3 linked regions of the Mus musculus genome follow. The protein of the gene in region 2 purifies or fractionates together with the protein of the main gene of each other region. This does not show direct contact. Links are inferred from orthologs where the notes say so. Each region holds a gene or a part of one and is shown on either strand. Other genes may lie near its edges.

Region 1 (3,649 bases), on a different chromosome or scaffold from region 2:
CAGTGGTATGCCTGGCCCTGGTTGCCTTTCCCAACAGACATCTGGAAGCCTTGAATGGAGTTTGACATTAGTTCTCAATTTGCAGCAGTTCCATGAAAATGTATGAAAGTAGAGTTCTGCTGGGGAAATGAGCTCTGAATCACTTCTGAGTGACACATCCTTCTCTGGAAAGGAAGTGTCTGACATACTTAAGTTTTTTGCACAGGGCAGAATGCAGATTTATAGCCATGCCTGTCAATGAACCACTTCCATCTCTGCGTTCATCCTAAAAACTAAAGCTTTTAGTGACAAAGGACAGTGGCACTTCCCTGCAACTCTTCCAGTGTTGAGTGTAGTAACAAAGCTGAGGCTGGAGACTAGGTTCTTGACTGAGTTGTTGGTATAGAGTCAAACCAGAAACTGTTGAGTAGCCCAAGCTATGGATAAGTCTAAGGCACCAGATCTCAGGAGCTCTGCCTTGGTAGGGACGAAGATCCCACAGTGGACTGTGGAAAATAAGAGGATGACCAGCAAGCTGGCTCAGTGGGTAAAGGCACTTACTGCCACACCCGATAGCCTGAGTTTGATTCCTGGAACCCACATGGTGAAAGGTAGAATCAATTCTTTTTAGTTCTCCTCTTGCTTCTGCATGCCCAGCAACACACACACACACACACACACACACACACACACACACACACACACACATGCACGCGCGCGTGACAAGCTAAGAGCTGTCCCATACACACAATGACATTTGTATGAGGTCCTAAAATAGTTACGGTCTTCACTGACACACAAGTCTAACTTTAGCCACATTAATCACCACTTTATCTGACCCTATTTTGTTGGATTGGCCATGCAGCACCCTGACATGAATGCAAGCTGACCACAGACAGCCCAGCTTCAGTGCTGAGTCAGCTGCATCTACAAGTGGCCAAGTGAACTCTAGGGTTGCTTTGCAATAATGAGAGGTTTGATGTAGATGATCTCAGAGGTCTTAGGCTGCTCTTGATTTCTCCTAATTCAATTCAGAGTTGAGTGTGTGTGTGTGTGTGTGTGTGTGTGTGTGTGTGTGTGTGTGTGTACATGCACATCCATGCCCATACATGTGAAAGCCAGAGGTGGATGTCCAGTGTCTGTCTTCCTCTACTGTTGTCCACTGTAGTTTTTGAGATGGTATATCTATCCAAACCTGGGACTCACTAAATAGCTAGGTTGACTGGCCATCAAGCCAGCTCTGTGACTACAGGCATGCATTGTCCCACCCAGGTTTTGAGTGTGTGTAAGAGGTGTATATATGCCAGGCAATGGTGGCACATGCCTTTAATCCCAGCACTAGGGAGGCAGAGGCAGGTAGATTTCTGAGTTCGAGGCCAGCCTGAGATCCAGGACAGCCAGGGCTACACAGAGAAACGCTGTCTCGAAAACCATGTGTGTGTGTGTATGTGTGTGTGTGTGTGTGTGTGTGTGTATACACATGAATGTGTACATACACAGACCCAGACCCATGCATGTACATGCAGAGGCCAGAACCAAACACTGGGTGTCTTCCTTTATTGATCTTATTGCCTTGAGATAAGATCTCTCACTGGCTTTTAGAAGCTTAGGTCCATTTTTCCCTCTGTCCCTCAATGCTGTGGTTACAGGAATGCACTGCCATGCCTAGTTTTGCATATTTTTTTCCTTCTCGGTTTTTCAAGAAGCCCTGTGTAGCCCTGTGTAGCCCTGGCTGTCCTGGAACTCACTCTGTAGAAAGAACTCAAAGATCCACCTGCCTCTGCCTCCCAAATGCTGGGATTAAAGGTGTGGGCCACCACTGCCCAGATCCCATGTCCACCTTTTTATGGGGGTGATTTGAACTCAGGTCTTCGTGCTCATAAAATAAGCGTTTTCCTGAACCCCATCAATGGCACTTTCCAATACCCAAGTTGAGCACAAGGACCTACAAGTTCTTATTGCACCACCAAAGGCCACTGTACCTTCCTGTCCTCTACGTACGACACAAAAACCCGAAGTGACTTTGCCTGCTTTCTTTTATTTCAGTCTTCCCTGAATCCTCCTTAGTAGTAACAGTCCTGTCCTTTTAAAAGGCTTAGGAAACACACCGTATCAAAGGATGTAATTAGTTATTAGCTTTAAGATGATTTCTCTGCAGGGTTAATGGAATCAAGAGAGCCTCAGAGCAGGGAGCTCACTGCTTTGGGAATCAGGTGATTATGCCCAGTATGTTAATGAGATGTAGAAGGAAAAGGAAGCTTAAAAGGTGAAGCCTGGCAGCACGCCCTCAAACCCATGAAATTAATTTCCAAATACAGGAAGGAAGTTACTCCAAGGTGCAGGCTCCCTGTAGCTCCCTTAGAAGGTCAGATACCAAGCACTGAGTCTGGGAAACAGTGTTTGGTGTCTTCAGTACAAAGGTGGATTTGTGTGTGTGCGCGAGTGTGCGTCCATATTATTACTTATCTCATTGCTATGTCAAAATCCTCTACAAAGGCAACATAAAGAAGGAAGGGTTTTACTTGGATCAGAGTTCCAAGGAATCCTGTCCATCATAGTGAAGAAACACCAGGAGCAGGAGGCATCTACTTATATTGTATCTCTAGTCAGGAAGCAGAGAAAGATGAGCTGGTGCTCAGCTCATTTTCTGCTTTGTATTCAGTTCAAGACCCCATCCCACGGTCAAGGTGGGTCTTCCCCCTCTTAACTAATCTAATCTAGAAAAATCTCTTATAGATGTGCCCAGAAATTTGTTTCTATGGTGATACCAGACTCTGTCAGGTTGACAGTTTAGATTAACTACCACAAGGGAATGCCCCCCACCCCCACCCCCCAAGCAGCAGCCCAGCCAGAGGGAAGTGAAAGAGGGGGCAGAGGAAATTGAGCATGGGATAATCGTTTCTGCTAAAGCCCAGCCTCTCCTGGGTGAGACATAGAATGTTCCAGGACTGCAGTGATACACTGTCAGCCCCAGGTTGTACCACATGAGGCAGTGGAGCCAGACCGTCTCAGTCTGAGTATGCAGCCCAGAATGAGAACATGGCCAAGCCTTAGGCTTCTCTCATCCAAAATAACTCCCCAGCCAAGGCACTAAAGGCCAGCAGTCAGGGGTGGTTACAGCACCTGGGCACAATCCCAAAGAGCCTACTTTAGGGGCTGAAGAGGAAGAGCAGAATGAGCCTTGCAGTATCCCTGATCAAAAACTTGTTTTTGTGTCTATGTTACAGACTGCATGTCAGGCCCGTGTCCTTTTGGGGAGGTTCATCTTCAGCCATCCACATCAGAGCTACCCATCCTCAACAGAACCTTCATCTGGGATGTTAGAGCTCATAAGAGCATTGGCTTGGAGCTGCAGTTCGCAACCCCTCGACTGAGGCAGATTGGACCAGGCGAGAGCTGTGCAGACGGGGTGACTCACTCCATCAGTGGCCATATAGATGCCACTGAGGTCAGAATTGGGACCTTCTGCAGTAATGGCACCGTGTCCCGGATCAAGATGCAAGAGGGTGTGAAAATGGCCTTACACCTGCCCTGGTTCCACCGCAGGAACGTCTCAGGCTTCAGTATTGCAAATCGGTCATCTATCAAACGTGAGTATGCACCTCCTGTCCCCACTGTGTGATCAGATGGATGTATGCAGAACGTTCCAGGGTATTCAACATGCAGTATC
Region 2 (3,649 bases):
TGAGCAGGTGACTTTTGTGCCGCAGGCCCCTGGGGAATAGATGTCTACAGGAGGGTGTTTGCCTGACCCCAGAGCCAATGTGCACATGATACATAGAGCCGTACACACAGGGCAGGGAAGCCAGCTTGCTGTGGGACCCTGCCTGAGCCCCATTCCCTGCCTCCATCTCCAGAACATGCTGATGGCCTGTGTCACCGCCTCACTACCGTATGTCCCACATCCAAGCCTCAGACCCAGGGATTGGCCAAGGATGCGTGGGAGATCCCCCGGGAGTCCCTGCGGCTGGAGGTCAAGCTGGGCCAGGGTTGCTTCGGAGAGGTGTGGATGGGTAAGGAACACACGCCCCTGTCCCCATCCCAGCTCAAAGACCCTGAGTCCCTCTCTTTAATTGTCTCTACTGAACAACTGGGCTGTTTTTCATTTTATTGTTGAACATTAACTGTACAAATTGTTACACTTGTTACAATTGTTTTCCTGTGACACTTTGAACCCCGCATGTAACATACTTGGCTCACTTCCAGTCCCTCACCCCACTCCCTGCCCCCCACCCCACGCTATGACTCACCAGGGTCAGCACTGAGGTGGGCTCCTGACTCCTTGTAACCCATGCTGCTGAAGATGAAGACTAGGGCATCTGTGTACCAGCCGCACCTGGGGACTGGGCACCACGGTCCTCAAGGGCCTGAGTGAGTGTGGTCAGGTCTCACGCCAAGCCTCAGCCTCCCGATGTGAAGAAGGGGCTGATGCCAAGCTTCAAGGGGCATCTGCATATTAGTTCAGCACAGAAAGAGACAGCGCTGTGCCGTGCGGAGGGAGTGGTGGGAAGTCAGTGTTCGGTTTCCTGTCTAATTGTGCAGCCATCGAGAGGCTCCTGGAGCATCGAGCTGCCTTAGCCAAACCCAGGCTCCCTGCTATGGCTGCTTCTACCCGGGTACCCACGAGTAGAGGGGGACTATGGGGCTGTAGTGGCTGTTGCCGTTTCACCATCTTCCTTTCAGAGGGCACTGGAGGGGCCGGGTCAGGTAGGCAAGGGAAGTCTTGGGTTGTGAGGAGGAAGGTCAGAGGGAGAAGCCAGCTTTTAAGGTGAGACCAAAAGGAGGGTTTGGGTAGAGCCTGAGTGAGCCACGGCCTTGGTCTTTCTCAACCTCATCTATGATTCTTGGTGTGTGGTGGGAATCTGAGGGCTTCCCACCTTTCCCTGGAGCTCTGCGCAGACCAGCAACCACCGGGAATCAGGGCATCCGGCCTGACCCGACACAGCTAGAGAGCTGACCCAGTCTACCCTCTGACCTGTCTCTGTGACAGGGAGGTCTCCCTGCCTAATGCAGCACAGGCACTGAGCTGACCTCTTGCCCCCAGTGACCCCAGACACAGCCCTCTCCCTCCTCTGACCCGTGCTGTGGTTGCTGGTGCCTCGGGTACTGACTACCCACCCATCAGGCTGCTGTTCGGCTTCCTGTCCTGTCCTAAGCAGTCAACATCCTAGTAGCAGTCACATTGTGAGCAGGCTCCAGACACACAGTTCACAGCCCTGGGAGGGGTCTCCATTCCCTGAGCCTATTTAATAAGTGTGAATGGAGAGTCTCAGCGTGGTATCTGGCCTTGCCCAAAGCCCATGCCCTGAGTTCAGAGGCAGAGATTGAGACAGGCACTTGTGTGGACTCGCCTGGGTGGCCCCAGTGCAGCAGAATGATAGCCTGTGCTCATGTTCCCACGTCTCTCCCCGACAGGGACCTGGAACGGCACCACGAGGGTTGCCATCAAAACTCTGAAGCCAGGCACCATGTCCCCAGAGGCCTTCCTGCAGGAGGCCCAAGTCATGAAGAAACTGAGGCACGAGAAACTGGTGCAGCTGTATGCTGTGGTGTCGGAAGAACCCATTTACATTGTGACAGAGTACATGAACAAGGGTAAGGTCTGAGCCCGGGGTGACCTTTTCAGGTGCCCACGCAGGGCGGGCCAAGGGCAACTTACTCCTTACCCCAGACCACCCCAATGAGTGTACGCTACATCAGGGACTGACTGCCTCTCTCCTTTTGTAAATAATAACAAATCTAGTGGGTTTTTTTCTAAAAGACGGCTTCTTTTGTCCTTTCCCACTGTCACGATCCCTGTTGTTGCTGGTTTGGTGGCACACACCTGTAATCTCAGTGCCCGGGGGTTGAAGCAGGAGATCGTGAGTTTGAGGCCAGGCTGGGTACATAGCAGGACTGTCTCTGTCTTGGTAAGCAGCAGTGTGGGGCTGAGGTTGTAGCTGGGTTGGTAGAGTGCTTTCCTAGCTTGCACAAGGCCCTGGGTTTGGTCTTAGGTTTGATCCCCAGTACTGCAAGAATTAGGCACACACCTGCAATCCCGGCACCGGGGAGATAGAGGTAGGAGGGTCAGGAGTTCAAGGTCAGCCTATAGAGTTGGGTTGCTTGAGACCCTGTCTCAAAACAAAAATATATGTACAGCATCCACATTACCTACCCCAGAGTTCCCTGCTGTCCTTAGTGCTGTGACTCTCCATCCAGCTTCAGCCTCAGGCAGCCACTGGCTAGCCGGGTTTGGTCCTGATAAACCTGTTTGTCTTGGGCTTTGCACATGATCTTTTGCATCTTATAACCCCCTGTTGTGTCTGCCTGACCTCCTCCCTACCCCACTTACTCCAAGGGCCCAGTAGCATTCCTTGATCTAGCTCCCTGGAGTCTTGGCCTTTGAGCAGCCCTGGCCAGGGTCTGGAAGCCACAGTTTCCTGCACAGGGAGACCCAGGCAAGGCTAGAGCTGGATCTCTCTCTCCAGGGAGTCTGCTGGACTTTCTCAAGGGGGAAACGGGCAAATATTTGCGGCTACCCCAGCTGGTGGACATGTCTGCTCAGGTGAGTCTCCTCTTCCACCTTCCTACACCTTTGGCTCTCGGGCTCAGTGCGCCCCCTTCAGGATGCCTGCTTTCATTACACCAGACTCTCACCTGGCAGGCGCCTGGGGTGGTACGCCACATCTGGGAATCAGAGGCACATACACATAATTAAGAATAAAAATAAAATATTAAAAGTTTAAAATTTATTACTTCCATTTGCTAGATGAGGAAACCGAGGGACAGAGAGGGGTCTTGGGACAACAGGCAGGACCTGGCACGCATCTGTGTCTATGGGTCATCTGGGGCCTCTTTTGTATATACTCGCCTGCCCGCCTGGCTGTGTCTTATTGTGACCTCCCATTGCCCTTTGCTGTCCCCTCTCCCCCTGAGCTTTGGTCTACCTTTTCAAGCCAGTGCTGTTTATTATAAGCTGAATGAAGTTCCTTGCTTGAAAAGACACGAGGTGGGCAGGGTGTTTGGGCATCCTTCTATCCTTCTATCAGGAATAACCAGCCCGAGACACCGGCTTACAGCACTGGGACGGGTGTGGGTTAGCCCCTGAGCCAGGCTCTCTGTCTCCACAGATCGCTTCAGGCATGGCCTATGTGGAGCGGATGAACTATGTGCACCGGGACCTTCGAGCCGCCAATATCCTAGTAGGGGAGAACCTGGTGTGCAAAGTGGCCGACTTTGGGTTGGCCCGGCTCATAGAAGACAACGAATACACAGCCCGGCAAGGTGGGGGTGCCTGGGGGTTATCCGATGGTATCCGTCTGTCAGGTGGAAGTGAGAGTCATGCTCCTGCGGCA
Region 3 (3,649 bases), on a different chromosome or scaffold from region 2:
TTTGCATGATACAGAGTGTACCAAGCCCCTCCTTAGAACAACTCCTGCGATCCTCTTCACTACAGCCCTATTATTAAGATGCCCTAGGTTTAGGCACTCAGAGATTAGCCTCTTGCCTCAGGCTGCACAGCTATTGGCAGTAAGTGCAGAAAGACTCTGGCTCAATCACCCATCCCCTTAGCCACTGGATGATAAACAGAATTAAAAGACTGATTAAACGTAGCCCTGAAGGCTCCTCACTGCTAAGGGTGGCATATCTTAGCAGAGCCTCCCTAAAATTATGAGTGTCTCCAGAAAACACAACCACATCTTACTGGTCATGTTGCCAGCTGTGAAGTGGGAAGGGCCTGGGTGTGATGGACTGGTACAAGCCAGATACAGTCAGCCTTCCATGAAGCCATACTGGATGTGGCTGGAAGGACCTGGGACTCAGCCTTGCTAGGCTGTGACTAGTAAGGACACTACTGTCTCCCTGCTGGGACTCCAGTATACTGCACAAGCCTGGCCACAAGTCTGGACTCAAACTCTTTGCTGTTGGACACTGAAGAGATGGAATTGTCTCTTGATTCACTCAGATCTCATAGGATGAGTGACACAGTCATTGTGTGACAACAGGAGATCACACAATCATGTCTGAGACACACCCACCCCTACGTGTGGTCTGGGAGCAAGGGTAATTGACCACAGTTAGCCATGAATTCTCAGTGGAGTAGATGTCTGAAAGTCACGAAGGATGCATCTCTCGAACATCCTAGGACTCAGGTCAGTAATGCCGATGCCCCTACTAGGGGCCACTGCCTGTATCTCTGTTGTCTGCAAAGGTCCTGTCACTTGAGTGGGACGGAAAGCAGTCGAGGTGTTCTGCTAGAAGCCACATCCCCCAGCCTGTCCTGGCAGAGTTCCTGTTGCAACACATCCCCAGACTGAAATCTGAAATAACCCTAGATCCCTCCTTCCCTCTGGGTACCCTGTGGTTCTGATCAGCTGGGTCTATGACCCCAGGGCCTCCAGGAAGGTAGACAAAGCAGACAAAGGAGGGGCTTTACCTGGATGCAAGGTCTCCCAAGAGGCTGAGTGGACCAGAGGAGGCAGAAGAAGCGGTCAGGACAGAGTGCAGAGCGGGAGAAAAGAGAAAGGACATTCATTCACTGCTCCGCCACCCCGCCAAAGGACACGCTCCCAACCCCTGGGCAGCTGCCATCTCTTCTAGGGCACAGAGGGATGGGCTTGCAGAGCCCCTGGACCCCAGGATCTTCATCTGTAAAAACTAGTCTCCCTGCTTCCAGGCTATCTAATAGCAGAAGGAAGACTTTGGGGAGGTCAGTAGAAAGTGAGAAGACTGTGGGTCCTGCAAAGTCACAGAACACAAGACTGTCCACGGGGCTTAGAATTGTTCTGTTATATAAAGTCAGTATTAACACTGCCAGCCGCAGAGACAATATTCTTTGTCAGTCCACCTCAAACTCACTATGCTGCCAAGAATGGCCTTGAATGCCCGCTCTCCTGCCTCTCCCTCCCAAGGGCTATGACCACCTTGCACCATCCTTGGCTTGGAGGCATTGCCCTAACTAACGCTACTTAGTCTGTCAGCAGAACTATTTAGGCTTCATTTTTCCCCATCTATAAAATGGGAAAGTTAGCCAATTAGGAACCCCCCCCCCAATTCAGCTCTGGGTTTTTCGATCTCCGAGAGCCGTGTGTGCACACTGTGTCCTGAGATGTGAGGAAGTCCTTGTAGCCCGAGAGTCACGGCACAGTCTGAGGACACCCAGATTCATATAGGCTGTACCCAGTCCCCAGAGCCAGACTCGGGCCTAGGCTAAGGAGCAGGAGAGAGGGATAGAGATGGAGGAGAGGAGGCGCTCCAGCCAGTGGAGAAGAAATCAGAGGAGGGGAGAGAAAAGCAAGTCCTTAAGTCTCGCCTCCTCAATGAGAAGATGCAGCTAAAGGCCAAGCAAGCAGGTGGGACGAGCAGGGGTTCTGGGACAGCTGGACTTACCCGCCCCGGGACACCACCAGTTTCACCTTGACTTTGTAGGAAACGATGATGCCCAGGATTTCACGGTTGGCACCTTCCCGCAACCTGCAGGAAGACGGGGAAGCTGGACCTTGGGGCTCCTTGGTGGGCGGAATGTGGTAGGCATTGGCATATGTTGGGAGGCACCACTGTCCATCCATCTCCTGAGCCTCCAGGTCCAACAGTTAGGAAAGGGAGCTGAGCCCAGTGCACTGGCACTTGTAGGCCTGGATTCTGTTTATGTCCCTCTTTGTGGTACTGGAGATTAAATCCACAGTCTCATGCCTGATGGGCAAGCGCTCTACCACTGAGCTATGACCCTAGTTCCTTGGGTTCCACATCTAGCGATAAGATGTCCTTGTTCTGTAGCCCTAGTGGACTCTCCTCCCTGCCTCACCAGTGCCACACAGTGCCGTGAGAACAGGCCCTAACCGCCCTCCCACCACTTACTTCTCTCACACTGCTTATGCTCGGTAACCCACAAGCAGAAAGAGCCACACTGAGAGCTGAGAAGCCAAGGGTAGCTGGGAGTCAGGGTAACATGGGAAGGATATGCTAAGTAGATACCTGGTGGTGGGGTGTTGAGGGCAGATCAGGTACAAGTCAGAGTAAAAGGAGGACAAAGAGCTTGTTGGTAAATGGGAGGCCTATGAGGGGTGATAATGTGATTGTCTAGCCTGAGCCAAGTCTGAGAGTGGGGAGCGTGGTCTCGGAATCAACAGACAAAGACCAAATCCCTTGCAGAGAGCCAGATATCATCAGAGGGAATGAAAGTCCCCCCACAACTGTCTGAACTCTTCTAGGGTGGGACAACCCTGAAGGCTCAGTGATGCCCATGGACCAAATGGCCTAATGGTGCCTCATGTGGAAGGACCCCCATATCTATACCCAGTTCCCCTCTTTTCCCCAGCCTCTCCAAGCCCCCATTTATCTCCTTCCAGTACTCTTCTAGAAGCGATTCTCTCCCCTCCAACCCTGACAGCATCAGGGACACACCCCAGTCTGTATTCAGGACTTTGGGCTAAGAGCTGCCAATTCTTAAAGAAAGCTTTTCTGGTTGTGTCCCCCAGAGGCAAATGATGGGACCCGGTAGTCTTTGGCTGGGTGGGTAGGAGTAGAAAGAGATCCTCCCTGGGTAGCCACACTCCAGGGGACTGGCCCTAGTCAAGACTTGGGCAAGAGCCTAAACCTCATCCTCATGGTGGTGGGCCAAGAGGGTGGGGCCCCGTCGTGGAGAGGGCACCGGGGGGCCTGGGACTCACAGCATCTGGGTCTTAGGGGCGGGCTCTCACTCATAGCATCTGGGTCTTAGGGGCGGGCTCTCACTCACAGCGTGCTGGAAGCCAGATTCGTGTCCTCATGCTTGAGCTTCCCGTCGAGGGCGAGTCCCCGCTTCTCTCGGTTGTTGGCCAGGAAGGGAGTCAGCGTATAGACCTTGCAGAATGTTGAGCTGGGTGCCACATTGTCACTGGGAAGTAGAGAGGCAGCATGAAGATGACTCTTATCACAGCCAGCCCTAACCCAGCCAAGACGCCTGGACTGGCCCTGTTCCACAACGCCCTCTGCCAGCAACCCTTATCTCCCAGATGCAGGCAACCACTTGGGCTGAGCCCAGCTCAAGCAGCAAGCCCA

The links.
Region 1: the proteins of Src (region 2) and Cdcp1 purify together in Homo sapiens (co-immunoprecipitation; 4 studies listed by BioGRID and IntAct, with this or other methods). This does not show direct contact. The link is inferred for Mus musculus from reciprocal best matches to the Homo sapiens genes SRC and CDCP1.
Region 3: the proteins of Src (region 2) and Arrb1 purify together in Homo sapiens (affinity purification with western blotting; 3 studies listed by BioGRID and IntAct, with this or other methods). This does not show direct contact. The link is inferred for Mus musculus from reciprocal best matches to the Homo sapiens genes SRC and ARRB1.

Annotation. Positions count from the first base shown.
Region 1 is NC_000075.6:123,184,973-123,188,621, reverse strand, and holds part of Cdcp1 (CUB domain-containing protein 1 precursor), read left to right. Parts: intron 1-3,206; coding exon 3,207-3,569; intron 3,570-3,649. UniProt on the Homo sapiens protein: May be involved in cell adhesion and cell matrix association. May play a role in the regulation of anchorage versus migration or proliferation versus differentiation via its phosphorylation.
Region 2 is NC_000068.7:157,465,701-157,469,349, forward strand, and holds part of Src (neuronal proto-oncogene tyrosine-protein kinase Src), read left to right. Parts: intron 1-172; coding exon 173-328; intron 329-1,730; coding exon 1,731-1,910; intron 1,911-2,782; coding exon 2,783-2,859; intron 2,860-3,424; coding exon 3,425-3,578; intron 3,579-3,649. UniProt on the Homo sapiens protein: Non-receptor protein tyrosine kinase which is activated following engagement of many different classes of cellular receptors including immune response receptors, integrins and other adhesion receptors, receptor protein tyrosine kinases, G protein-coupled receptors as well as cytokine receptors.
Region 3 is NC_000073.6:99,594,457-99,598,105, reverse strand, and holds part of Arrb1 (beta-arrestin-1), read right to left. Parts: intron 3,486-3,649; coding exon 3,348-3,485; intron 2,084-3,347; coding exon 2,000-2,083; intron 1,071-1,999; coding exon 1,047-1,070; intron 1-1,046. UniProt on the Homo sapiens protein: Functions in regulating agonist-mediated G-protein coupled receptor (GPCR) signaling by mediating both receptor desensitization and resensitization processes.